4 linked regions of the Lonchura striata genome follow. The protein of the gene in region 4 interacts with the protein of the main gene of each other region in a pairwise test. Links are inferred from orthologs where the notes say so. Each region holds a gene or a part of one and is shown on either strand. Other genes may lie near its edges.

Region 1 (7,111 bases), on a different chromosome or scaffold from region 4:
GTAGATGTCATTCACCCATTTTCCATCAATAAACACAAACGTCTCACCCCTTGGCTTCACCAGAGGGGTGATGCAGTCTGTCTCAGGCTCTGTGTGCTGCATGCTCTGGCTCCTCTGATCAAAGGCAGATATTGCCCTTCTTTAGCAAATTGAAGAGGACTGTGGAAAAAAGCTTTTTCCAGGGCTTCTATAAGAGGCCACTGACCACTGTCAAGGAGCAGGTGACACAGTGGGGCTGCAGAAGCTTGATTAGGACTGAAAGAACAGGGAACACAAATGTGCAGATTTACTGCCAAAATTCCAAATCAGAATTAAACTACACAAGTGACAGAACAAGTGAATAAATCAGTTCTCACAGTTAACCATGTTGCCCCTTTGATGCTGAAAGGTAAGGAATCCATCAGATACCTAGCTGATAGAAGCTGAGAAAAATGGCATTGGTAGATAAAGCAGCACAATGGCAGTACTAAAGTCTTTCTTATTAAAGCATGCACTTCCCCTTTATCTCTCTACCTCATTTTTACAGACCTGTAAGGGAGCAAAATGCAAGACTATTTTCTGCCTCAGAATAGCCTGCTCCCAAATGACTGATGCACAAACACATTAAAAATTGTTATGAGGCTCAAAAAACCTTTTTAAAATAAAGCATTTTTAAAGGTTCATAGAAAAAATCTGGCCTTGAGAGTTTTTTATTGCTAATGCTGAGTAGCCTGTGCTAACAGGATGCCACAAAAATGCAGTGACAGTTTTGCTTTTTGATCTTAAATTCCACAATATGCACAAACCAAAGCTTTGGGACATCAGAGATTTGTTGTTCTTCGCTTGGTTTTTTACAAGCTCCCTTCACCATGGTCCAAAAACTGTCACAACCCATAGATAATTCTCCACCTTTCATTCTCATTTTTCCTGTCACTCTTACTCTTTATATTCTTTGATAGTTCTGTTATTTTTCTTGCTTTCTAGCCCTGCAATGGTGATTGCTTATCTTTTTCCTACAGTCCATCTGCCTCTTTTTCACATCATCAGAAAACTCATCTCTAAAATCCATATTGTAGGGCCAAACCTCTAATGCTTCTCATTTCAGACACAGAAACCTCAGACTTAACTGTTGAATACTTTCCCCTCCTTTCCTCTACCCAAAATATTGCAGTTTAAACTATCTTTTAACCATGAGTGAACTGGGGCAAATTAAGGATTTCAGTCTTTTATGTGGGGGGAAAAAAAAAACAACAACCAACCAGACAATCAAAAATTATTGTTTTGTGCTAAAGAAAAGCTTGTTTTCTGCATCTAAATTAAAAAAAAAATATTAAATTTATGTGATTTTCATGATGAAGTTATTTGATCTGAGGTTGAACTATTTTTTATAACCAAATTGCTGGAACTTTCAGGGTTTCTGCACAGAGTTTCTAATAGCACAAATGTTCCTTTTTCTAGGTGAAAAAAAAAATAAAGCTACTTGTCAGATTTCACTCAGGTGTATTCCTCTCCTCCTGCTGAGGTCCTGCAGATTCCCTGCTGTCCCTTGGAAAGCCCAGTTCTGCCTTTCTGTCTGTGATGAAAGTTTTACCTTCGTGAATCTTGCCCTCATGTTTCTACCCCAAGCATTAAGCAGAGGGTGACCACCACACATGAGCCCCTTATAGCCTCCAGCTCTGTCATCCCAGTGTGCACCTCCTGTCCTATTGTTGCCCTTTCCTGTTGCTCTCCCTTTTCCCTGTCATTTCATCAAACAGCACTGCATGTCCAGGCTCCTCCAAGATACTTGTTAGAGCAAACATCCAGAGATGCATCCTGTACCCCCTTCCCAAATTTGTCCAACCACTCATAAAATTACTGTGTCATTTAAAATCCAAAATTCCTTCATTTAGGAGAGGGTTATTGCAATATAGGTCTCTGTGCATTTACGTTTGATTTTATTGCAATCTGTTTACTGTCTGAATTTCAGGGCTGTCTTCCATATCATCTGCTGCTTTATCTCATGTCAGACTTGTGTTTTCATAACATCATTCTTCTGCTAAAAAGGTATTTCCCAAAAACTCTGTTTTGGACTTTTGTTTCCCACTTACACTATGTCCAGAGCCATGCATTGCTCCCTCCCTTACACCCTTCCCCTGCAGCCTTTCCAACACATCCCATTCCACTGAGGTGCCCAGTCCCATTTTTTCCCCCAAAAGCCCTAAAAAATTTGGGCCTGGTGAGGGGTGAAGGGGCAGAGGGCAAGTCAGCCACAGAGGGAACAGACCTCTAATTAACCAGGGAAGATGCAGAACACATCCAGCATCAGAAGCCTGGACCCACATGCCTATCATGGACAAACAGCTACAGTTCTTAAAGTCACTTACAGAGAAAGTGTTTAGATTGCACATTTTCAGGATAAACAGAAATGTATAATATATACGACATTATCTGGGGGACAATTAAATTGACAGTGGCTCTGTCAGCTCTTTTGCACTGCCAGGGAGACATCGACCCAAGCTTTAGGGACCCTTCAAGATCTCAGTGCCTCCCATATATATTTTTTCCCCCCATCTCTGAATAATCCCAGGAAATGCTGGGCAGCTGGGCGGATGAGCAAGGCAGCCAGCTGCGGGGCAGCCCCGCCACGCCAAGGCAGGCTGGGCATTTGGGAGCGGGGCACTAGGAGCCGCACACGCTCACCTGTGGGCGCGGCGCTCCCTCTCCGCGGGGCCGAGCGCCGCAGCCGCGCTGAGCTCCCGCTGCTGCCGGCGTGTCCAGCGCCTCCCCGGCCGGGCACCGGGCACTGATGGGAGCCACCTGCCCCAGGAGCCTCCAGGGGATGGGAGCTCCTGCACGCCCTCCTTGCACAGCTCACTTCACGCTGTTCTCACAAGACTGGCTTGGGCTTCTCCCAGCGTTGCTCTTCTGGGCTGCTTCTCATGGAAATGACCTTTCTGCTAGCTCGGCTCCCATGCCCTTTCCTGAACCCAGACTTCCCGATCTCCCTTTGATGCTCGTAACTGAGAATAGTTTGGACGGATTCTTTCTCCATCACACCCTCTTAAAACAAATTTTGCTTTTATTCTGAAACTTCAAATTCTGTTTGTTGCTGAACTGATATAGATACATTCAAAAATCTCGTCCTTGCATGTGCTGTGGGATTTGAAGTTATTTTCCAAGGACAACATGAAGTTTTTCTTTGACTATAAGTTTAAGAGCAGATTATAGCTGAATCCAAGTAAGAAGAAAATAGAATATAGAAGACATTCGCACATGCAGGTTTAGATATTATTTGTAGCAGCCATTTCCACTTCCACATCTTTACATTTCTAATGAAGTCTTTCTTATTTGCTACATCTTCCAGAAATGGATTTTTTTTTTTTTTTTTTTTTTTTTTTTTTTTTTTTTTTTTTGTAATCAGGATTCTTGAATAATAAATACAGCATTTAAATTCTCTTTCAGTGAAAATTACTAAGTTGACATCACCCTCAAGGAGACTGCTGCTGCTTTAGGAACTTGAAGGTATAGTTCAGCTTTGGTGTTATATGAAAATTATAAACTCAGGTATAAAATTCTTCTCTGTAATTGCTCCCTTGCTTATATGTAATCTTAGACAACAAAACCACATCACAGGTTACTATGGCAACTCCCCAGGGAGTATCCTTCTTTATTTGAGCTCCAGGATCCCGCACAGGAAAACAGAAAATGTCCTCAGAAGAGAAAATATTTTATATGGGCTATTTGTGCTTGGCCTGCCATCATATGGGAATTTAAGAGTTCTACCCAGTGCAGACACTTTTCAGGAGGAGATTGGATGAAATATCCAATTTGAATTTCTGAAGAACTGTGGCTGTGGACTGTGAAAGTGACCTTTGATGAACATTTTAAGGTCCAAGAGCTGACTAGAAACATAATTAATAGAAAGAAGTGCAGCTGCTTAATCCAGAACCATGGAGAACTAACTTGATATTGAGCGTACCTTTGCTTTTCTCATGCAGTATTTTCCTTAAAGTTTTGTAAAGTTCCTCTGCCAAGTTAATTTTTTACTGAAAATTATGAATTCAAATGCCAATACATTTGGATCAAATTTAGTGAATATCATCAGATGTGTTTATGCACACATCAGAATTGGAAATGCTGCAACAGCTCACAGCAGAATTTTTTATAGCAGCTACACTGATTTCTGAGTTAGGCTCTCAAAAGGACTGAGATGTCATTCACAAGATTACAAAGGCAGAAATAATGCTGAGTGTGTTCCACTTCCTGCCAAGAGAAAAGTAACCCCTGCTCTGTGAGAAGGGTTTGAGCTAACCTGCCAGCAGAGTGTTTTGTCCACAGCTTCAGACCACTCAATTTCTCAAAGATGTTTCACTACACAAAGAATTAAATATTATTTGGAACCAAAGCCTTTTTTCTCCATCCTACCTGCACACCTTATACCAGGCTGCTCAGCTGACCTTTGCTGTCCTTCTTGGAGACTGTCTGGTTCTAGAAAGGATTCAGTGGGAAGGATGTGTGATCCCAAACACACTCATATAATATTCTCCATGCTCCGTGCTGGGGTACTAGAGGTCACCATCCAGTGATGGGTTAAAAGCCAGGGGGAAGAGCAAGGTATGAACTGCTGCCATGAAGATTTTGCAAGAAGGGCCCTGAAAACCCCATACCAGTCTCCTTTTTATTAGATAGAGGCATATACCAGCAGTAAATGTCAGCCCTTTCCATCCTTTGCTTTTGGGTTAGAAGATCTGGCAAAGTGTCTAAAGTGTAAATAATATTGGGGGCAAGGGGCAGGGGGCGGGGGGGAATGTTGTGTAGAAAAATTCATGCTATATTCCCAAATCTTTATTTTATAGAACCAAAAGCATCTGCTGCCACTTTCTACCGTGCCAAACACATCTGTGCTTTTGAAATACCAGCCTCTGTTCAATCCAGTGCAGGCTGGTCTCACCACACATTCATCCACTGTTCTCCAGGGCATTAAGCCTGGATGTGAATCCCACCTAGTCACTAAAAAGACTCTTGCATATCTGAGTGCTCTTGAATCATCTCCTGACCTCAACAGCTGGGCAGGGAGTAAAAATTATGTTTTCTCAGTTTCTGAGGGAGTGAAATGTCTGATAATATCTCAGCATTGTATTCTGCCCAGGAACAGACAGTCAGCGGTGTGAAAATCAATAATGAAAAACTCCAGATCAGTTTTTTTTAAAGACAAATAAATGGCTTGAGTGACACACCTATGTCATTCCCTGTTTGGACTAATTGTCCTTCCAGGGACACTATCAGAGTGCTGCTGCTAGTGCGTCTCAGTGTAACCCTCACAACATCCAGTGTTGTGCAAATCACCAACCCTGCATTCTCCTGTCAGCACTGGGTCAGCTGAGAGCTGAAATGAAAGGTGGAAATATCTACTTTCATATCTTCCCTCTGATCCTAATTTTATTTTAGACATTGGGTAAGTCATCATTTCCTCAGGTTCTCAATGAGTTTGAGATGCTGACTTTCTGATGTAAGCTGTCAAGAGAATTTAGTTCTTCTTTGTGAAGCGCCTTGAACATGAAAGCATGACAGCAAAGAAGCCCTACACACCACTCTTATTTATCCCCTGATTGTAATACACATGTTTCACAGGGTGAAGCAAAACATTTTACTATTGCTAGTAAGTGACATCTTACAGACATGTCAGGCTTTGTGTTGTTCCACCTTTGATCTCATTCTCACTTTGCTTGCTTTGTACTTTAGCTATGAATATTTAGAAAAAAAAATCATCAAAACCCATGTGCAATCTCTTGGTCAACTCTAAGCCATTTCCTCTCAACTCTGTTCCAGTGTGTTGTGCCTCTGTGAGCCTTGCTAACAAAAACCAGCCCAATTACCATGTCACTCTCCTAGTTCTGTCTGAACAGATCACAATTTACGGAGCACTCCACAGGCTGAAAGAGCCCATTGTTCACTGCTGAGTTAATGCTAGAAGCAAGGATCAGTGATGCACTTGGTTTCTGTTCTGAGGGAGAGGGGCAGAGCTGGCATTGCCCCTGGAGGAGCCTTCCTGTACATAGGGACAATTTGGAAGGGGACAGTCACCTCAGTGTGCCACGTGTGAGCATGGGGTATCCCAAGGGCCTCCCTGGGGCACCCGGAGAGGCAGGTCTGCCAGCAGGGACACGCTGTCCCTGATCTCTGATAGCCACAAACCCCAAACAGCAGCAGGCACGAGTGCTCGGGAAACAGACTTGAGCCCTCAGCGACTTGTCAGCCAAGTGATGCTCCAGCCCTCACCACTGCTCTGATCAGGTCTCTGCTGACTGCACCTGAGCTCTGAGGTTCTGCAAACAGGTGCAGTGTTTGGGAGTTGGGGGCATTTCAGCTCATTCTGAACACAGAGCAGGTCTTCCATGTGACAAGTCTTTGGGTGAGAGGGAAAATCAGTGGCTCCATTCTTGATTGACAGGGAGAAAATTAAGGGTTCAGGCTTATTAAGCAATCTCTAACAGTGATTTATGGGGTCCTGTACATTTTAATCTAACAAAAAAATTTAAATCATCTAATTAGCTAAGTGTGTAATCCTGTATATTAATTGTCTATTAGCCACTTCTTAATTAAAATGGAATGCTTATCAAATAACATGTGATGGCCACGTAGCACCAATTTAAGTCATTATCAGACCAGCTCCTATTTTAATAAGGATCTGTTCAACTGGAGTCTAATAATTTCATTTTCTTTTAAAAGCTCTACTGAAGAGGAAGCAATCACCTTAAAAAAATAATATTCCATTAGGACTTTCTAGACCCTTTACTATAAACAACACTACATGAAGAATCACAAAACCCATGTAAAATATCCAAGGAACTATCAAGGAACCTGGAAACCCAGATCTTATGTTTAAATTTGTCCAGGAGTTCCTTGTTCATGCACACAGACCTTTCAGCATTTTTGCTTGACTTCCTCTTTGTTGGGATGCATCACTCCTGAGCTTGAGGAGGTTAACCTTGATTATTAACCAGCTTTTCTGGGCCCATCATCCTTCCTGGAAATTCTATCAAGCAGATTCCTGAAGAGATCAAAGTCTGCCTTCTCAAAGTCCGGATGAGATTTTTGTGATCTCCTCAATCCAAAAATTCTAACGCCATAATTTTGTGGTCACTGCAGC
Region 2 (6,967 bases), on a different chromosome or scaffold from region 4:
ATTCTAAGTGCGTACCGCAAATTCCCCCTGCTAATGGCCACAGACACAGAAGAGAAGCCCCCTGAATTCAGCTCTCTTCAGCTGGGGTGACTGAAAGTTTCTGAAGTGTTTGCAGCTTACTGAGACACACCAAAACCTCACAGGAAAGACAATGGGCAAAGAGAAACGACCTCCTGAGAGACACACGGATGCTCTGAGCTGCAAACAACTTTGCCTGACAAATCTTTACCTCCTTGTCGGTTGCTGTTCAAGTTTAAAAACAAACAGTGGGAGACGGGTAATAGTAACAGGACTGAAGTGGGACACGCTGGTATGACAAGCTGAACCCCAAGCGACTGCAGAAATGTGCTCCAAGAACTGTGCTGACTGAGAATCCAAGGAAAAGAACCTACCATAAACACCTAGAAAACAATGATCTGTGCATCGTGCACACACGCACACACGCCAGCTCCACAGGCATTTGTGGGTCTGAGGATCCCTGTCTGTGCAGAAGGAAGTATGTCCTCGTGGCTGTTCCCTGACAAACACACACACGTTACATGGACACTGCCTGGGTCTCCGAATGTGTGTGTGTGTGTGTGACTATAGTCAAACACACGCAAGGTAAACAAATGGTAATGATTAACAAAGATACTGGTCTCTATCCCCAATTTCAACTGCAGAAAAAAAATTGTTCAAAAAAAAATTTCAAAAAAATTGCACGTCCTGAGGTTCGTTTTTTATTGCTTCCCATTTCTACTGCTTGCTGTTATCTGCATGGCAAAAGGAGAGCAGTGTATTGATTATTTAACTAGAATGTTTACAAGAGCAAAGCTGGATCTCTGAAAATGAAACCTATGCCTAGGGGCAAAAAAAAAAAAAAGAAAAAAGAAGGGAGTAGAGAAGCTCATTCTAAGGATGATGGTTGCCCCAAATGACTTGTTTATATATAAAATTTATACAAATATCTATATTTATAATGCAGAGAGACTTCAGCTAAGAAAAAAGTCCCCAGCAGGAAAATGAAAGGGCTTCTTTCTGCTTCAGAGAGTTTACAAGCACTGTGTTCATCACAAAGTTCAGAGAATAATCAAAATCACTCGCTTATAAATTTCTATGTGTAAACTTAGTGAGGCACATGAAATACTTGAATCTATCGATTGCATGAAAACAACAAATGCATGAGCATGATGCCAGATCAAATTTGACATCAGAAACAGTAACAGTTTCCTCAGGTAGTTGAACTAAGTTAATACAGTACACGTGAACAAAACCAATTTTGTCCTATTATTGTAATGCTAAGAAACCGAAGGAAAATGCCAAGTATTCCAAGTCTGAAAAATTAATTGCATTAAAGATGACCTTGGAGTAGAGCAACCTAGCCAATTTCACTTTCTAGTAAGGAAGCATTCTAGTTTCAGAACAAGGATTGCAAGTGTTAAAATAGTTCTTTTCTGCATTTCCAAATTTTAATTTTCTCCGATCTTTTAATTCAAGTGTTCTTTCCTGTCCTTCCTTTGCATGTATGTTCCTCAGCCCACTTAAATGTTTTTATCTTGCCTTCTTTTCTATGCCTTTACTATCAAATTCAGTAGGTTTGAACGATGAACAGCTTGACTTAGCATATTTTTAACCAGCTGGTCTAGCACCTAGCTTGTATTGCATAGTCAGATACAACCAAATGTTTATACAGGAGAAGACAAGAAAAACCTCACGAAGACAAGAAAAACCTCAGTAACACGCATCCTGGCATTCTTTCGTTTACTGCTTAGAAATGAAAGTTTGGACTGTTTACTGCAGCCGCACATGGGGCTATTAACCTTTAAAAGAGAAGCCGGAGGGGAGGGATGCAGGACCATGAACGCACGGACGTACAAGCACCTGAGAAAACGCTTCCAAACATCTCAGGAGAAGCAGATCATATGAAATAAGGACTGAACTCTCGGAGGTCACAAGCCACCAGCAATGACAGCAAAAACTTGATTCCAAGCAGGGAAGGCTGCTGCTTCGGGCAGGGGGAGACGGGCACATCTACGTCATACCCGAAGCCCGCTCGTCATACCCAGACCCGGCTCTTGACACTCCGCGAGAGAGGCGACGGCCAAAACTTGGAGGCAAGAGTTTCACTTTTTCCCTTTCTTTTTCCCTTTGGGTTATTTTTCCCACCTCTCTCTCCTCACGCAGAAAGATGTTCTCCTGACGGAGGGCTGGGATGTTAACTTGCCTAAAAATAATAGCTCCTGCTAGATCAACAAAAGGTCATGTGCTCGGCAGAGCGCCTTCCCAAGTTTGACGGGAGCCTGAGGCTGGAAGTTAGAAGATGCCCGGGAGCCTGGCCGCCACCGGGCATCCTCCGACCGCTCTGCGGGAAGTCCCCGGGCAGGAGAGGGGAGGTTGTGCCCAGGAAGGTGGCTCGGCCGCCCGGCTGGGCTAGCGGAGGGTGTGCGGCAGGAGGGCACGGCAGCCTCTGCGGCCCCGGAACAAAGCTGCGCGCCGCGGGCGCTCCGCCCGGGGCCGGGGGCTCGGCGGCGCCCGCCACCCCGGTCAGTGACACGGCGCCGGGGCGGCGAGGGAGCGCGGAGGGACGCGGATGGGCGCGGGGGGAGCGCCTCTCTGCCCGGCCTCCTGCCGCCGAGCGCCCGAGTTGCGCGCCCGTCCCCGCGTGTCCGTGTGCCCGCTGCCCATCCGCGCACACGTGCGCCAACGGGCGTGCTCGGATAAATTAAAAAAAAAAAAAAAAATGGAAATAATAATGCAATAACAAAGCACGAAACAGAACGGGAAAGAAAACACGGGGAAGAGACACCCCCACACACATACATACACCCCCGCCCCAACAACTCGACTCACCTTTCAAACTCCTGAGGTAAATCAGGGTCAGTTAGCATGCTGGAAAAGCACAATTTCCCTTTGTCACAGCAGCCACCTATGGTCGCCTCCAACTGAACCTGTCAAGTGAGTCCAAACCTTCTAAACCGATTGATTTTCTCTCTCGCTCGCTCTCTCTCTCTCCCTCCCTCCCTCTCCCTCCCTCCCGGCTCGCTCGCTCTGAGCGAGGACTCCTTGACCAGTCTCTTAAAGGGGCAGCGCGCTCGCAGCACGATGAGCGCGCAGCTCCCCCCGCCGCGCTGCGCGACCTCCGGGGGCCTGTCCTTTTCTTTTAATTCTGCTCGCCCGCCGCCGCCAAACGGGAAAAGTCAACTCCTTCAATGTCCTAAAAAAAACAAAAAACGTGGAGGGGTGGAGGGGATAAGGGGGGGGGGGGGGGGGGGGACGGGGGGGGGCGGGGGAGAGGAGGGGAAAAAGAAAAAGCAGTCCGACAATCCACCTAAACCGGCAAACCAGGAGCAAATCCCCTACGCTGAGGAAGATCAGTGGAGAAAGAAGATAAAACAAGAGCAGACTGATTAAATTGAGACAGTTATCAACTCTCGGAGTTGAAATAGAGGAGAAGAGATTAAACACATAAAAATGTTACCAAAGGCATTTGTGCTCCAAAGAATTTTCATTCCTTTTCCCCCACCCTTCCCGGTCTCTCGCTTACCCTCTTTCTCTCTCTCTTTGGGTAGGGGAAAAAAAAAAAAATCACCCGCACAACAATCAGGCATTGTTCTGAAGGAAGAAAAGCAACTTTGACAGATTGAAATATAGCAGAGGCCCCTTCAAGGAAACCTGTAAACAACTTGTCACTCACTCTGTCGGTCTCACTGTTAGCTCTTGCTTTCCACAAAGTGCTGCGAACCGTCCCGGCAACAAACCCAAAGTTTCCTCAGCTCCAAACTCCATCAAATAGCCCTGTTGTGTGCAAGGGAAAAGGTAGCCACATGCCAAAACAGCGGGCGCGCACACACGGATGTTCAAACAACAACAAAAATAAACTTTCTGTTCATCTGTTAGGGCTTTTCTCGTTTTCTGTTTAATCACACCCCCCCTTTTCCCCCCGCTACTCTCCGGGCGAGCAGTAGAAGTCCCTCGGTCGTGACTCCCTCTCATTTCCCCTGCCCAGACAATCCCTGATAACAAGGTGGACGAGGCGCGGCTGCAGAGCCCCTGGGCTGGCTGGCGGAGCTCAACCTCCGCCGCACTTCCAATTATCCAGATAACAATCTGCCAGGCGAGGAAGGCAGGCAGGTAACGGGCCTCGGACACGCGGGGACAGCCCCCGCCTCGCCCGGGCACAGCCGCATCCCTCTCCGTGCGGCGGGCGGGGCGCTCCCGATCCGCCCCAGCGGGGACCGGGGGCAGCGGCCGGGAGAGCGCCGCGGGGAAATTCCCGTCCGAGCCGCGGGGATTAGCCGGGGGCTACTTTGCCGGCGGAGCACACAAAGCCTCAATAGTCTGCGCGGCCCGGGTCCGGCTTGGCACTGAACTCGCAGTAAGGGGCGGGAGGGGAAAGGAAAAAAAAAAAAAAAAAAAAAAGGAAAAATCGGGCGCCCTGTTCTTTCGCACACACGTGCGCACACACCCACACAGGACCACGTATCTATACCCCAGTCTTTCCCCTGCCCTAATTCTTTTCTCTCTCCTCACCGCTTTAATCTGCAGCTGGACAACATTAAGGGCCTTTAAAACCCACGTGGTTTTGACCCCCGAACAGTTTGATTAGGTCCATTGCCACCCCTCTCATCCCTGCCTCCGAGTGGCACGGAGACAGCAAGTTTCCTTTTTGAAATACATACACGTATTTGCACGGAGCATCCATAAAACTTTCAACATTTTCATGCCCGTTGGCTTAAGAAAAATGCCAAATAGAAAAGCTTATTATTTTTAATATCCAACAGCTACGCTGTTTAATTTGGTGCTTTTCACTCCCGGTGCATATGTTAGAAGCCAGCAGGCTCGTGCAGAGGCCAGTCAGTCCAGCGCTGGTATAAAGGCATTATCAGCTGGGATATCAGTAGGGGCTGCTGGCTTTAATCACCGGGAGCAAGCCCACTCCCAACTTGTCCGCATCAGCGCCGGGAGCGCCCGGCCCGACCGCGGCACGGAGCGAGCGACGCAGCCAGCTTTGCCGAGGCACAGCGGAGGATGTGCAGAGCCTGCCTTCCTCCACCACCATGGCGAGCACAATCCGTCCACTTGTGGCATGAGCGAGATCTAATGGGGCTCCTCACCGTAGGGCAAGGCAAGCCGCCTCCCTTCGGTAGCCCCCAGCAAATCAGATTTTCCACAGAGGGTCCATTCATGGGAGCCTGACAAACTTGTTAATATCTACACGGATTTTTCATTAGTTTTTTAGTGGCTACCCCTTTTAGGACAGCCATGAAGTAGACTTTGAAAAGGCAGCAGATTATTAAAAAGAACAATTCCAAACACTTTCTCTTTCATCTGAGGGTCTCAAACCATGTTAAGTATCACATTACTCCTCTGCAGGTAATAAATATAATTAGGGCCGATTCCAAAACTTTATTTGTATTGAAAAGTATCTCACTCTGCAGGGGCTCCATTCAAATCAGCAAATCTCTGTGTGGAGTAGGAGGCTACTTAGTAAGAGAATTTGGCCTCAAATAAGGAAACTGAGATGCAGGCAGGCTTAGGAGCTTGCCCAAGTTGACACATTTAGTCAACTCTGGCAAAAGGATGAAAAACAAAGACCCCACATGTCTCACAGTCAACAACAGCCCTCATGCTGCTGAAACATACATATATGTATATGTATATGTGTGTGTATATATATATATATATACTTATATATATATATGTATATTTGAGCTTTTTTCCCCACAGATTTTTTTTACTTTTACTGTTTTGTTTAAAACATGCTTCATTTCTGTAGTCACATTCTGTAGGGCCCCTCTTCTTGGTGTTTCATTTTCCCCTTGATGCACCACTACCCATCCATAAATGCTGTTCCTTCTGTCCCAGCTCATGCTTTGCTTCCCTTATTTCTATTGCTACCCCTCATGCCTGGCCCTGGGAGAAGTTTACAGAGTGAAGCCACACAGAAGACACATCTGGAAGAAAATTAAGACCACCTTTTATTAAAAGAAGTATAAATCTCGAGCATTTCAGTTAGAACAGGAATACAATACTTTGCACGTTAAGCACCATTCAGGTCTAAGCTCTTATCCTTTTACCAACTCAGCTCCACTCCACAACTGTCCTTCTTCCACCATGTCCTTCCTTTGTCTGTTCACATGTATGTACCCCATTCACATATCACTTCTCATCTGAGCTTTTTCAGGACAATGATCACATACTACCCCCCAAGCTGGTATTATTCCTAGCACACTGGGGCTCCTGGTTTGCTGGCTGTCAGCTAATATGATTATAAATCAGAGCAGCCACCATCAACATCAGGAATTATAGAAGAAGACATGGGCTAGATGAGGAAGAAGCAGAAAGAACCCTATTAAAAGGAGGAAAAAAAGAAAAGTGTGGGAGAGAAAACTAAGATAACTGAGGAAAAGGAAGGGCTCAAAAGGGGAGAGGAAATGGAAGGAAGAAAGGAAATCGAGATCTCTCCCCTGAATGGTTCTGACATGAACTCTTCTTTTACTTAACCTAGTTTACAATTACTCTTACCCCAATACATTTTGTGCTCAGGTACCTTCTTCCCCATTACCTTCATTTTATGTTTTCTGCAAATACTGAGCTCCTGCTCCCAGATGACTGGGGAGAAACAGAGTGATGTCCAAAGAGGAGAAAAAAAACAACTTACTGTTATAGTAATTTTGTAGTATGGTATCCTTGTCCTATACTGGATTATATGGATAATATATATATTACTAGAATATAGACAGTTAAGTATAGACTTTCTGATGAAATTACTTTCTCATAAGAAGTTCAACTGCAATTGCAAGATGGAGAAAAGGCAAGTTAAGTGGTTTGAGGGAATCTTGAAACCCTTCTAAAAATAATTTCATACTGACTTTTAGCTTGCTTTTTAGAAATTGTCAGGACACATCACAAAGTCTGCTAGCACATCAGAAAGTGGAAAAACTGAAAAATTCGGATAAATAGCCACTGAGAAAGAAGAAAATGTACA
Region 3 (7,183 bases), on a different chromosome or scaffold from region 4:
TACACTGAACTGCTATGCATATGTAGCCAGAAGAGAACCCAATGATGCAAACACCAACAAATACAAGGAGGAAGCAAAATAAATATTTTTTGCTTAATATACTCAAAGCTGTAGTTTTGGGAAAGCAACTGAAAAATGTTGCTCTCTCATTTTCCTTGCAAACTTTTCACTAGATGAGCAGTGTTGCCCCTGACAGAAATCAATTCTCAAGTTCATAGTCATGAAGCTTAGAGAATGTGTTTCTCAGTCAAACAAACAAACAAAGAAAAAGAAACCCAACAATTAAAATCAAACCCACACCACAAGGCTTCTATAAAACTAACAATTAACATTTATCACATTTAGAACAAAGAGATTGGTAACTGTGGTCCTCATCGCCACTTAACTACACTTTACTTTTAACTGGTTGAGTTTTAATGAACAAATACCCCTATGCATAGATGCCAGCATGGCAAATATTATTTGTGAATGAAGTGACAAAACAGAAGAACTGCTCACTGTACCGGTATTTAGTCCACCTTGGAGAATTTTAACATTAATGACTTCTGTGCATAAGACTTTCGGTGTTATACCTATGTAAGATTACTCCTTCAGTGCCTATGTAAAGCTATCATTTACCCATCAGTGTAAAAAGTAGGTCAAGCTTAGAAAACTATGCACAACTGTCTCTGCTATAATACTGACTACTAAAAAAACAGTCCACCCAAGATCTTTAGAAATCAGCTGATATTTTAGACTCCTGGATTGGATGAAAACATGCTTTATTACATGGTAACTCATGAACATAGAAGATAATCAAGATAATCTTCATCTTCAAGAAGAAAATTATACTACCGCTAGCTTTTTTATTACTACTTTTCTGTTGCTTCTGCTTTAAGTATATTACACCAATAATACAAAATGATGAATTAAGAAGCAGTTATGGAGCTTTGCAATTTAATAGCATATCACTTAATAGTTTTATCAGCATCTTAATTTGTACTGAAAATATTTTGAAAGCATGAAGGTGGAGAGTTAAGTATTGCAAAGTACAGCATGTAACTGTGATATTACTTAAATTTATGTCTTAAAATAATGAACTGTCCCCATCTTAGAATACGTAAAAAGTTGATGTGGAAGGATTAGAAATGCTTATTAAGTCAGAGAGAGAGATGACAAGTGTTAAAGAATTCTTCCAAGAATCCACTGCCAGCAATATTAGGGTGCTTAATGAAACAAAATTGATCTTATCATCACAAGTTGGTCCTTCAAATGAGGGCTGTTCTATTAAGTGTACTTAGAATTATGTGGAGTATTACATTTTTTCTTATGAACTAGAGAACAAAAATGTATTAAGTATTTGTCACCAACCTATCAAGACATTTTTGCCACAGGACAATACCAGAGAATATCACCATCATAAAAATTTAGCATTTGTGTTGCACTGGCAAGCAAGCCTTTTTAGATAAGTAACTGAGGTGACTGAGGAGACTCTTCTTCCCCACAGTTCTGTTTGTTGACTGTTTCCCTTATGATCAAACCCACTCAGGTAATAGGGACAACTTGCTTCTTGTACAACTAGTTTCAGAAAAATTTTGTTTCTAAACAAGTGAGAGTGCAGCTGCCCTCCAAAGCTGAGTAAGTATTCCACACATCTACATTCATTATTTTATAAATAATCCTTCAATGCAATGCTCTGCAAAATTAATACTTCAGTAATATATGTATTTCTACTAGAAAGACAGTTTGTGACTAACAGAGTAGCAGTACCAATATTCAATAGCATTAAAGAACTAACTTGTTCTGCTTTCTGTTACATAGGTATTAGAGCAGTAGCAATTTGTGATAGGCTGAAGAGCACCACAAGGGAAGCGATCATCCTAGCAGGGAGGACAAAAAAATCCCAACTGTATCTTTGAAAGAGAGGAAAGCAAGGAGCAACAGAAGGAGAGACTGGCTAATTACTTTGGATAAGTTCATTCAAGAGAGGAAACAAGAAGTGCTGCAAGATGAATGAGAATTCTATATTAAAAGAAGTATCCAATTTTACTGCTGTTTCATCTGTTCCGTAACACCAATGAGGCAAATAGTCGTCACACTTGACATACATGGATATATTATATATTTCTTAGATATATTGGATATTTTTGTATCTCCACAGGGCAAGTCAGCACCCAAAACGCTGAAAAGTAACCGCTGTGGAGCACCGGCAGCCTTTGTGGTGGGGCAGCTGCTGCTAACTAGTCGTGGTACTGTATCTCCGGGCTTTGGGATTCTTATCCCCCGGCAGACCCGTCCGGTCGGGGGCACGGGCAGGGCTGCTCTGCGCCCGCAGCGCTCGTCTCTCTCCTAAACACGCCCGAGGCACTCGGGGCTCGAGAATACTCTGAAAACGGGTGCTCCGCCAACGATGTGGGGGAAAAAAGCCGGGAATAGAGAAGAAGCCAAACTCGCCCTATATTAACAGGCAGCAAAGGCGAGCGGGGGGAAAGCCCGGGGACGGGACGGGACGCTCCCCGTGCCCTCCTCCGGTGGCCGGTGCTAGACACACAAGGCGCGGAGCGGAACAGAAAACGGAGGGACGCGCGGAGCGGAGCAGCGCCGCCCCCCGAGGGCACGGCTCGGCTCGGCACGGCTCGGTCGGGGGGGAGCTGACACCCAGCCCGGCACGGCCGCGCACCTTCCCGCTCGCTTTCCCCTGCGCCAGCCGCCGGGAGCAGCGCTCGCCCCCGCTCTCCCGCGGGGCCGGCGGACAGCCAAGCACCGGCGCGGGGCCAGCCGCCCGGCCGGGCACTCACCGCCCCGCCGAGGTGCAGGAGGAGGAGGAGGAGGAGAAAGAGGAGGAGGCGCGGGGGCGGCCCCGGCGGCACCGCCGCCCCCGCCTCCCGGAGGCGCCCCGGCGGCGCCAACTTTCCCCGCGCCCCGCGCCGCTCCCGCCGCCTCGCCCGGTACCTGCCGCGCCGCCCCGCGCCGCCGCCGCCACCCCGCTGCCCCAGGGGGCGCAGAAGGCCGTCACGGCCGTCGCGGCCGCCGCCACCGTGCGGACCGAGGAGAGCAGGTGCGGAGCGGGCACCGCGGAGCCGCTCCCGCCGCCGGCTCCGGCTCCGGCTCCTGGGCTGGGCGGGCAGGGCGGGGCGGGGCGGGGCGCCGAGGAGCGCCCGCCGCCCGCGCCCGCCCCCTAGCGGAGGGAGCGAGCGGCCGGGCCCGGCCCAGCTCCCGGCCCGCCCCGCCGCTGCCCAAGCCCGGCTCCGCTGGAAGCCCTTCGGCGCTTTCCGCCCTTCCGCAGGGGGAACGGGAGCGGGGTCACCGCGGATGGCGGGGCTGGAGCTGTTCCCTCGCCTCCTTCCCTCGCCCCGCGGCAGCCCTGGCGGGGACTGCCCCGCCGTCACCTGTTCCGCACGGCCGTGGCGGCCGCGGTCCCGCCCGGGTCCCTCCCTGCCCGCAGCTCCTCCCGGCTGTGCCCGCTGGCAGCGCGGCACAAGCAGCTCTGGGGGCCGGCTCCAGAGGCTGACACCAGCTGGGCACACCGCCGGCTGGCGGACCCTGCCAGGCGACGAGGAACCGCGTGTCCCTCGTGCCATCGCCTGGGGCAGAGCGGGGCCGGCACAGGAGGTGCGAAGTGTCGCCACAGCCCGCAGCGGGTGGCACAGCCCGCCCGATCGCCTCTCCCCGCCGGAGGAGAGCAGGTCTGGCCGCCGGCGGGGCGCGGCGAGCGGGCCAAGGTGTGGGGATGCGTGTGGAGCCTCCTGCTTCCCTCGCGTCCCCGCTCCCCGCCGGGCTCTGCGCTGCACCGCCGTGCCCGAGGCATCGGCTCAGGCTCTGCGAGCGAAGTAACTGTGTCAGGGCAACTCTACACCCATGCTAATTAGCTGAGCCTTTCTGCAGCGCTAATTAACTGAAGCAGAGGACTTCAATGGCCGAGCAATCCCGTGGCATGTTTTCTCTGGTTGTAAAGAAATTTTCAAGTGTTTGATCCTTGTGCCCTTGTGCTAATGAGACTATACATAAGATCAATGAAACAGTCCGGCTTAAATTATCCAGAAAAACCCTCCTAAACTGTGAAGCTTGGATAGTGCTCTCCTGATCTGTTTTGCCCCCTGCCTTCCGCCTTTTCTGTTAACTCAAATGCAGGGGTGGGAGCAGGCAGAGAGAGAACCGATGCGCCAGAAACTCCCTGCAAAAGACCCAGATCCAGGAAAAAAAACCCAGAGACAAGCCCGAGAAAAGCTTATCAGATGATTCCTTGACACGGCTGTATTGTTTCAAATTCCAAATTGCCTTTCCAAGCTTAATTCAGAGACCTCTGTGCTGCAGTTCACAATATAAATATGTCTGCTGTGGTGATAGGGCATTCCAAAATGCAACTTAGCTCTTGCCATCTGCTTATCTAGTGATGTAGTGATCTAGTGCTTATCTTGTGCTATCTGCCCTTCTAGTGAGCCACGTTCATGGTTAGTTTGGGGAAAGTAACATGAAGGCAGCAGCTCCGGTGAAGGCAGAAGAATGGGAGGCAGTTTTAGAGGGAGAATGGGAGGCCGTGCATGTCTACACAGTACTGCCTATCTGAATTTGAGTACTGGGAGGAGCGTAGCTGTGTCACAGGTTTTCCCACCAGGCACAATGCCCACTGCTGCTCAGCACAGCTGATTCATTGGATTTTGCAGATTTCCTACAGGCTTCTCTGAATGGTTCTGTCTTACACTCATAAGTGATCTTTCCTGAAAAGTGATCTTTCCCAAATGTTTGAGGAAACCATCTAATAATCTAATCTCCTGTCATTTATTAAAGGTACATAAACTTAATTTGCCATGCACTTAAATCCTAATGACAGGCTTAAATACTAATTGACAGGCTTCATTCTATTAAACAGTTTCTGAGACTCAGAGTGAACATTAGTTCACTTGTTAATTCTATAACATTACTCCAGAATGTGAGCTTGCTTATTTAAGTCTGGAACAATAGATGTGTCAAAAAGCATTGGCATTGCCATCCCAAATCAGCCCGTTAGGTCACTATGTTTCCACCAGAACCTCTCCCACTTAATAAGTGAGCATTAGACCCATCTAATGCTTTGTGTCCCATGGAAGCAAGTTAATTTTTTTTTTTTTTAACTGATACTTGGTATTTTCCAAAGTACTTTGCAAGAAATAGTCATCATCTTTTCTTTTAGAGACTGCAGGAAAACAGTGCTACACAACAAGTACACAAAGTGAACACACCACTGAGGGCCACGCTGCTGCTCCTCATATTGAAGGTTACTGCATCTTGCCCTTCACATAGTCCCATGTAGTTGTGTAGGAGCATTAATTCAGAGGCATGAGAGCCTATCCATTCCAATTAATCACAGTCAGGGCCTGATGACTTTAGAGTTGAAATATGAGTGCATCAGGCTTTTGATTTAGTGGTATAATTCCTGGACTCAGGTCCAAATCTGTGCAGCAGAAAACTTTCATTACAAAAATCAGAAAATTCTGCTGGTGGGCCTTGAAGGAAATATGTAATCCCAATCTTTCCCTGAGTAAAAACTATTATGTATTTCATCAGGTCCTATCAGTCATGCCAGTGAAGAAGAGAAACCCCCACTTTTGATTGGGATTGCAGATTTAATTTAAAATTCTGTTCTTGGAGGCCACTTTCCCAAATTCCTTGACTTTAGGGAAAGGCAGAGAATCCTATAGTAATTAAGACCATGGAAGAGAAAAAATAATTTAATACCTAGGATTGGCACACATAGGATACCACAGAAGCACCGTCTCTCACCAAGAGATGATTTATCCCTCCAAATGCGGTATCAGTTTATAGCAAACACTTCTGAATCCTCTACTCATCACCTATTTGTTAAAGTTGTGCTAAATTAGATAAGTATTAATTATTTGAGTGCAATTTATTTTCTTATCACACAATCAAAAATGTGGACAAGATGTTAATTCCATGAGAATAACAACCTCAAGTTAAAAAGGAAAACCACTACTCCTCTCAGAAAAAAACCCCAAACAAACAAACCCCACAAAAACAACAGGATAAAAGTTGTGTCTGTTATTTTCACCGTTTGTGGCTGAGGCATTATTATTTTCTGTAATTACTCAAACAAGATCTCTTTTTGCAGTATCATCTCCCATTCACTGGACACGTTAATCCCTACAGACTGGATGTCTGTTCTCATCCTCTTGAGTATCCAGCTGAAGACATCTAGGACACAGTTTTTCAACTAAATTTCTGTGTGTGTTTATTCACTTCTCTGAGAACTTCTTTAAATAAAAAGAAATCACAACCTGAACCTCAGTTTACTCAGAAAAAAAAAAATGCTCAGTTACTGATCAGAGGAAAGAAGTCCAGCTGGAGTAACTTCCTCAGCGTCACCCAGAAGTGCTGTCATGGTAACAAATATCTCTGAGGGCAGTTTGAGCAGCTGCCTAGACAGGGATCAGGTACAGATTAAAACCTGATGAGGAAAAAAGTAGTGTGAGTAGTGTTATTTTTAATATAGATAAATTCTGCAGTTAGGTTAGCAGTAGTGATTTGAGGAAAAGTGTGCAAGTGTAAAAAACTGTCAGTGTTCTATCCCAAGAAGAGTTAAAGGGCAAGGGGGATGGATGTCTGAGCCACCTGGTCTAGTAGAAGGTGTCCCTGCCCATGGTAGGGTGGTTGGAACCAGATCTTTAAGGTTCTTTCCAACCCAAACCCTTCCATGATTCCATAAAATATGTGCACACATGCACATACAGATTTTCAGAACTCAATCAGCCAAATTTAGGAGGAATTCCTTCTTGTCAACAAAAGACTCCTTGCTGTCAGAATCATGGACATGATAAAGCTTCTCAAAAGATGGCTACTAGTAAGGAGTTTGTGTGATTGTTTTAAATTAGCAATTCCTTATCTTAATTCTTCTTGAAAAGACAAAATTATGATCAGTTCAGCTGGAGGCAGAAACTCATGATGTGAAATTTCATCCCAAATAATTACATTCTGGCACACTTGTAACAAAACAGGATCTCTATAAGAAAAATATTTGACAATCTGAGCTGTGGTCAGCCTGCCTTATAGATAGATCTGCATATGCAAGCACAGAATTAACTTCTCTCCTGTTCCAGAGACATTGGAGTTCTAACCACTGTCCTTATCTCAAGTTCACAAGACATTTAAAAACATAAACCAATTGTGAACTTAAAAAAAATAAATCCTAAGTGGTTTAAAGTATGTTCTC
Region 4 (7,820 bases):
GCTGCCCCCGCCTCGGCAGCGCCCCGGTGCCCGGCCCGGCGCCTCGCCCGCCCCGGAGCGCAGGGCGGCGGCTGGAGGGGGAGCGCCCCAAGGAGCCGGAGCGGCGGCGGCGGCGGCCGCCCTCGGCGCCCGGGACAATGGTGCTGGACAAGGAGGACGGTAGGTGGGAGCGGGGCGCGGGGCCCGCCGCTGCCGCCCGGGCGCCCCGGCGGCGGGCGGGAGGCGCGGACGGGGGTCGGAGGGAGGCAGCGGGGCCGGGAGCTGCCCCGCGCCGCGGCACGGCGCTGCCGCCCGGCCGGTCCCGCGCACAAAGCGGGGCCGGGGGCGCCCGGGACGGCGGCCCCGCCGCAGCCGCGGGTCGCTCTCCGCGGTGGCCGGGCCGGGCCGGGCGGGAGGCGCGGGTGTTCCCCGCGGGGGCACGGCCGCGGCCCCGCTGCGTGCCGCGGCCGGCCGGGGACGGTCTGGCACTGCAGCCCCGGCTCCGGGCCGCCATCAGCGCCGCTGCCCGCGGCGCGGGTCCCCGCCGGGCCAGCTGCGCCGGCTCCCGAGGCCGCGGGTGCCCGAACGCCGCCCCGCGCTCCCGCTGCGGGCAGGGCGGCCCTGCCTGCCTGTGTAAACGGCCACAGAACGCCCCTGTGCCGGGCTGGCGGGGGCTCCAACTCGGAAAAGTGGATGCCGGGCTCAAGAGACAAGTGGGAGATGCTCTCCTTCGCTGTTCCCTTTTTTTTTTTTTTTTTTTTTTTTTTTTTTTTTTTTTTTTTTCCCCTCCCGTCCACTCTACCTCTTCTCCTTCCCCTTCCCCTCGTCTTCTGATCTGGAGTTTCTGCCTCGGAACGGGGAGAGCCTGCCCGCCGCGACACCGCCGAGCGGGACGGGGCACGGAGAGCAGCCCCGGGCCGGCTGGTGCGAGCGGCCGTGCGGGAGGGGCCGGGCGCTGACAGCCGCAAGGTTAAATGCTCGCCGCTCCAGAGAGGTGCGTGGCGAGGGAGCTCGCTGCACGCTCGTCACATGCCTCTGGGCCCTCGGAGAATCCCTCTCCCAGCATCTTTTTTTCCTCCAGTTTCTTGAAGCCCTCTGAAGCAAAGCGATGCAGTGTTATTAATGGGGTCTGGAGTGCTCACATGTGTTGGAGAAGAGGGAATGAACTTATCTAACTGGTCAGTGAGAAGTAACAGTAGAGACTTTCCTCATCCTTCGCCCCCTGTGCACTTAGGTAAAAAGATTAAGCAATGACCGAGGAATTAAACACGGGCAATTTCTTACTGGTGTGTGGAACACGGTTTGTGTTTCTCTCCAACCTCACTTTCAGGGGTAAGCCTGCGTTGCAAGAGTCCCCTGAATTTTGCTTAGCTGCTGGAGGAAAAGGGAGGAAGGGCTCTTAACATCTCTATTAATACCCCTTATTAATAATAACGGGGTGATGTCTTCATCCCGGTGGCTCTCTGTCAGGGGGTGCCTGCCAGCCCGCGTCTGTTTCCGTGTGATTGACAGGCTGCCAGCAGGATGCTGCCTCCATTGCAGGGGCGAGAGGCACAGGTGAGCTGCGAGGAGAGACCGAGATCTGAAGAGGGTTTCCTAATAGGGCTGTTTGGGCTCTTTCAAGTGTCTCAGACGTACTCATTAAACACGAAGAGCTCGGGAATGGCCTGACGGTGCTGTAAGGAAATGAAACTAGAACCCCTGATTATCCAGACAGTTCTCAACAGCCTCCTTCCAGGAGATTTTATGAGTGGCTGTGTGTAAAAGGGAATAATGGTGGTGGGTGGGAGAGGTAAAGAGGAAATTAGTGCGGGATGCACTTAAAAAAGGAGCAAAGTAGGAAACAAACTGATGAGAAGGATGTGAAGATCAGAGCAACAAGGTGCAGTAATGCCTAAGACTCTCCTGTGCTGTTGATGGAGTAGTTACGCTCGAGGAGAAATTATGGTCACTTTTAAAGGTGTCCTGGAGAAATAGGGGATAGAAGGTGAGACTCAGAGGAGAAACTCGTTTTATGAGGAGGTCATTTTACCTTTGTAAGTTTCTTTCTGCCTGAGTCAAATGGGCTCCACTTGCCCGCTCATCTGTGAATGTTGAAAGGGGATGCTGGACCTGCATAGGTTACAAATGGACTAAAATGGAAGCTTTTGCTAACTAAACCAATTCCTTTTGAAATCAAGCTTGAATGAGCTTGTTGATAAAAATGGGTCTGTTTCACTCCCATAAATGGCTCTTTTTCTTTCCTTTTATTTTTCTTTTTCCCAGAAGCCGGTCTGACTTTTACCATCTAAAAATCCCAGCGTTGTGGCTACTATCCAATTCTCCCCTTGATTTAAGAGGCTTTGCCATGTAGAGTTTTTCTTTGAGGGGTTTTCTTCTTTAGAGGTCTCTGGCAGCGGTGGGGGTATTGATAGTTACTACTGCATAGAGGAGCAGGATTTCAGGTTTACCCCTCCCAGAAGTCCTGGTGCATCACAAGGAAGACACTTGCTGCCTTGTAGACATGAGCCCCTTGGTTTTGCATCCCTGAAGGCCACTTGGGAAGCTGGGCCATGGCCACTGGCCTCAGGGGCAGCTGCCCACTCTTTCAGCTTGGCGCCTTAGGGCTGTGTGCCAGCCCCAGTGTGACACCAGGATTGCCCCAGCGGTGCGATAACTGCAGATTTGTGTTTCCACTGCGGGTTTGTGAGCAAAAAGCTTCCTTGGCGAGCACGCTCTGTGGTGCAGAGAAGTAGTAGAGACTCAATAATACTTTTCTGTGGGTCTTCACGAATATCATTGAGGATGAAGGGGCAGACTGAAAAAATAACAACAATAATCATGTTTCTGACTTGATATGTTGTGGCAACACGTCAAGTTATGTCAGGGAGGTAACAGCATTTTGTATGTTTGGAGTGACATAATATAGCTTGACTGATGCAACATGACTTGATATTAGAAAATACTGGTTCACAGTGGAACTCTGGCAGGTATCTTCCCCGAACAAATGTTAGCAACTGAGAGAAGAGGGACGAGAGGGGTGGGGGAGAGAAAGGTTGAGAGAGAAGAACTTCAAGGTTCTCATTTTAGTCAGTTCCACTGTGTAAATCACAGCAGAATTTGCTGTGGGCAAGCCAACCTACGCACCGTGCAGCGCATTTATATATTTCAAGATAATGAGAGTTAAGATATTTCTGAAATACGTAAATGTTTTGATCGCAAAGACCAGATTTCTGCTTAAAAAAGTAAACTGACATCAGGTAGCATGATTAATTCCAACAGATTGTGTTAATTGTAGTTGACTTAAATTGCTGTACAAATGTGTTGGGGGTTAGAAAACTTTTTTTTTAATTGTTGGTGTGTGAAATGAGTAAGCAGATAAAGTGTTTAAAAAAATCTGTTTGCACAGGGAGTAATCCAGCCTCTATGACATGATGGAGCAGTAAAGGAATAAAATGTACATTGATCCGGTACTGCATATTTTTTCATGAGTGCATTATGTCTGCTAGTTTGCTCTGCTGCAGAAGTCATCTGTGACAGACAATAGCTAACTTAATTTTTATCAAAACCTTGCCTTTCTTGTAGTTACTAAATAGTGGAAGTTGAAATGTACCATATACTTTGGGGTAAGTCTGTCCTTTTTGAAGGTGGCAGGATTGAAAAGTACACAGACAGATGGAACATTTTTGGAATTCACCATTTCCTGACAGAGGCCAATAGTATATTGGAAATGGTGAAGTGCCTCAAATCTAAAAAAGGCTGTGGTTTTGTTAGTTTTTGCTCAGATCCTTTTAACTATTAGACTTTAATCTTTGGGATAAAGTCCTCCTCCTTTCTAGCTTGTGACACTTCCTAAAAGAAAGTGATTATTTATGGTGGTTGCACTCTTATGCTAAAATACATATTCAGCACTTGCAAACTAGTATCACTAGGATACAGGAGTTGTTGGAAGCACTAGATGAAAACAGCTCAAAGTGAACCAATACATTTAACATCAAATATTCTCAAGGACTGTTAGGATTAAGTATTGTGAATGAAGGGGGAAGGAAAAGCCACTTCAGCTGGGGATAAGGAATCTAATTAAAAATTGGTATTAAGGATATATAACTTGATCCCGCTATCATGCTCTTTAGAGTACCGTTGTATCAGTTGTAAAGGGGAGGAAGAAGTATCATTAAAGCAGAAATGAAATGTTTTCTCAGATTAAAAGACTGAGATGAGTGAAACGGTGCTGTTGATCTTGGTAGCGAAGTGTCTGATCCCTCAATCCTTGCGAGAGCCATTGGAGACAACAGATGACTTGTCTGAAAACGGAATGAGAGTTGCAGGATGTAGGATAAAAGATGTGGGGCCCCAACTTGTCGCTTTATATCTGAGCATTGATGGCATTTCTGAAAAGGGTTTGTATCGTGTTTGATTAGGTAAATACAATTTAATATCGACCTAGTGAAAATGGAGCTGAGTTCTCCGGAGTACACCCTGAAACTAATACCGACGTGTGAAAACAAACCCAAAATGTTTGTGCGGAAAAATTAGTATCAAGTTTTAGGTCACCAGAGACGCGTGAAACGCAGCTGGGAGCAGCGGGGCTGGCGTAACTCAGCCGCGGAGAGTTGAGAGCCTCTGACCTGCCCGAGCTGCTGCGTGGCGCCAGACACAATCCCCGCTGGCAGGGAGCGGGGCCGGGGCAGGGCCGGAGCATCCCCCGCGCATCCCCGGAGCATCCCCGGAGCATCCCCGGAGCATCCCCCGCGCATCCCCCGCGCATCCCCGGAGCATCCCCCGCGCATCCCCCGCGCATCCCCCGCGCAGCACAAGGCGGCGGCGGCGGCGCAGGTGGCCCCGGCCGGCGGCACCTGGGCGGGGGCCGGGCGGGCTGCAGGTGGTGCTGCTGAGCCGGGAAGCCGCGCTCCGCCAGGAAATCCCGGCAGGAGCTCCGGAGGGGGCCCTGGGAAACGCGTGCATTTATTCATCGCAAGTGTGCAAGGCTCACCAATTGAGAGGCAGAGGCAGCGCTGGTCGGGTTTAGGCATTCTAGCCTCTCCGAATGTAATTTCGGATTTAGAGTCAGCTTAAATCCAAAGGGAAAACACTTTATAAGGCTGAAAGCTGTGTAGTTGCAACTGCCAGGGTTATGAGCTATCAAAGGCAATTACATTAAAATAGATTATACTGTGTAAATTGAGCCATTTAGAAGGTGAGAACCAAAGAAACAGCTCTGATCCCCCTTCTTTCTAAATTGCAGTTTTAGTTCCTTGCAATTCTGAGGCACAAAAGTAGGTGAGACTGCTTTTGTATCTGCAAAGTGCTTTATTTCTGAGTGTAATTCTAACTGAGTGCAATCTAGGTTAAAAGCTGGACAACTGGGTAATTAGAGCTCACTTGCTGCTAAAGGACGATCAGCTGTACCGTAGCTCATTTGTGTTCCCAGAGACTTGCTCTCCTCTCCCCTGAGCGGAGGCTGCTGGAGAAGAAGCATCTGTGCCCGGACTTTTCTTGATTGCGGAGATGATGGTGCTGGACAAGGAGGACGGTAGGTGGGCTGAGATTGTGTAAGCCTGTGCTCGGTCTCTTCTGTGTGCTGCTAATGTAGAAATAAATAGTTTTGAAACAGATGTGCGCTGTGCATTTCAGAGCTTCTGATGTTTTTCTCTTGTGTAGGTGAAAGCATGCTTGCTCTTTATTTTATTTTTTTTTATATCTCATCTCTGACATGATCGGACAGCCAACACGGGTTTACTCCGGGCTCTGTTTGCTGAAGGACATAGCAGAAACAGCTTGATTTTTTTTGTTTTTTTAAATATCTATGTAGATTTTTCTTTCTGCAAGTTATTCTAATATATCCATTTTAGCCTGTTTGTTTTTACAGCTTTTATTGTAAATCTAATTTTGAGATTTTTCTTTCCCTTTCATTTGCATGCCATTTAGGTCTCTTTAATGTGCGCCTTTAATATCTATTTCTCACAGCTTTTCTTCATAGCTATAAACATAATGACAATAAGCTAATAAGCCTCTGTGGCAAAAAAAATAAAAGCGTTGGTTTATTCTAAGAATTTACTTCCTTCTTTTAATAGCAGAAGTGGAGGTTCATTTGGGATGTAATTTCATGAATGAAGCAGAAGGAGAGCTTGACTGATTTTAAGACTTCACATATGCTTATTTTTTTAAGCTGACTAGTCCTTATCAAGGATGCTTAAGGGCAACAAATTGATGTGAGGAATATCAGTGTTAGTTAGCAGCCTGAATGACCTGATGCTATCTTTTGCACGTTGCCTGCCAGGGTGTGCAACTTAACTGCTCAGTCATCAGTAGTTTCTGGGATGAAGCTGGTAAGTTCCATCAAAACTTTTTAATGAGGTCTTTTTTTTTTTTTTTTTTTTTTTTTTTTTTTTTTTTTTTTTGCTGAGGCTGTTTTGTGGCTAAGGTCTTCCCTCATAGCTTGTACACTGAAAGCAAGGATTAAAACTGAGGCAGAGCAGAAGGCTTCTGTGGCCATCCACATGGACTTCCATCCATGGCGCTGCCGCTTCCAAGGACCTCCGCCTTGGTGGCACTTTGTGCGTGGAAAGTGGGAACTGCGTCTTAAATTGTACCAGGCATTTCTACCTGTTATCTCCTTATTTCATTCCACCTGTATAAATGGATAAAGTGGACCATGTAATGGATTTACCCGATCTTTTAAAATTTATTTCAGGAACCTCTTTAAGTGTTAAAAAAATAAGGTCATAGGCTGTTGCCATTCGAAAATAAGGGAAATTACTAAATATTTGTAAGACTGTAGACAAGAAATAGCTTTTTACAAGGAGCACAAGAGCTTGGAGAAATTGGGAGTTGGGCATTTTGTCAGTAGCATTGATTTTATTTGAATATATATATTGCTTTTTAAAATATTTATGAGAAAAATAACTTGTAATTCAAAGTCACTTACTTTCCTGTGTCGGAGTCATGCTAACTGTGTTTTGTGACTAGTACTGAAAGCTGCTGAGTACTATTAAGTTGAAATTATATGATTTTTATTCCACAACCCATATCTCTCTCCTAGTATTTTACAACTGAATTAGTACTGCACTGGAGAATAATTAGGAAGGCTTGACTATTGAAAGACCAGAAGTCTTCTGCTAAAGTTTCTCTTCCCTCTCTCCTTTCCTTGCCTCGCAAAAAAGGGAGTGTTTTAGACCTAGCATTTTGAGTTCTTACCTCATTATAAGTTTGATTTCTGAAATTCTCCCTCTGGCATGTTCACGCATGTAGAATCTGAATCTAGTTTCTGGGATGGTTTTGTTTCATGAAGCATTTGGGACAATGTGGGATTTTCACAAAGACTTGACACCTTTAAAATACAAGACCAAGCAGAAATGCATCATTTTGAGTGGCCCATTGTATGCAGATTCAATCAGATTTGGACTAAGAGTTGACCAATGCGAGATCAAAGTCCCTGTATAAATTGTCATGCCCTTCTGAATTTATTCCATGCTAATTAAGTTGGTATCTCAAAACTGTGAAATAATCTTACTTGTGGGGAGAAAAAAACCTAAATCATGGGCTTTATTTCTGTTAAGAAATTTAAGTTCCTTTGTTAACGCAGTAGTACTTGAACAAAAAAATGAGTAGATGTGGAGCATCTGTTACACATCTTCTAGATCAGCTTTGCAGTTGACTGGCCTGTGGATAAAAGACACGCTAAGTGCTTGAGTATTGCTTATGCTGGGAAAACAAACGAAGCTAACAGGGTTTCAAAGGCTTTGAAGCAGTGTCACTCTCAGAGGTGTTCAGTTGTTTTCTTTGGCAATATAAGTTGAAGCAAGCTAGTTTACTTTATTAGAGGCATAAGGCTACTCTTGTAACCTTCCTCTGACTAAGAT

What was found.
Region 1: the proteins of LMO1 (region 4) and CBY2 interact in binary tests that used the Homo sapiens proteins (3 or more experiments, as listed by UniProt). The two-hybrid records come from large-scale screens. The link is inferred for Lonchura striata from reciprocal best matches to the Homo sapiens genes LMO1 and CBY2.
Region 2: the proteins of LMO1 (region 4) and SOX5 interact in binary tests that used the Homo sapiens proteins (3 or more experiments, as listed by UniProt). The two-hybrid records come from large-scale screens. The link is inferred for Lonchura striata from reciprocal best matches to the Homo sapiens genes LMO1 and SOX5.
Region 3: the proteins of LMO1 (region 4) and PTPN3 interact in binary tests that used the Homo sapiens proteins (3 or more experiments, as listed by UniProt). The two-hybrid records come from large-scale screens. The link is inferred for Lonchura striata from reciprocal best matches to the Homo sapiens genes LMO1 and PTPN3.

Annotation. Positions count from the first base shown.
Region 1 is NC_134604.1:61,118,292-61,125,402, reverse strand, and holds the start of CBY2 (protein chibby homolog 2), read right to left. Parts: upstream 3,014-7,111; coding exon 2,853-3,013; intron 2,779-2,852; coding exon 2,662-2,778; intron 140-2,661; coding exon 1-139.
Region 2 is NC_134607.1:14,597,609-14,604,575, forward strand, and holds the start of SOX5 (transcription factor SOX-5), read right to left. Parts: upstream 3,012-6,967; 5' UTR 2,868-3,011; coding exon 2,830-2,867; intron 1-2,829.
Region 3 is NC_134603.1:65,418,646-65,425,828, reverse strand, and holds the start of PTPN3 (tyrosine-protein phosphatase non-receptor type 3), read right to left. Parts: upstream 3,013-7,183; 5' UTR 2,932-3,012; intron 1-2,931.
Region 4 is NC_134608.1:50,786,191-50,794,010, reverse strand, and holds the start of LMO1 (rhombotin-1), read left to right. Parts: upstream 1-4,815; 5' UTR 4,816-5,466; coding exon of another isoform or gene 5,467-5,491; 5' UTR 5,492-5,572; coding exon 5,573-5,615; intron 5,616-7,820. UniProt on the Homo sapiens protein: May be involved in gene regulation within neural lineage cells potentially by direct DNA binding or by binding to other transcription factors.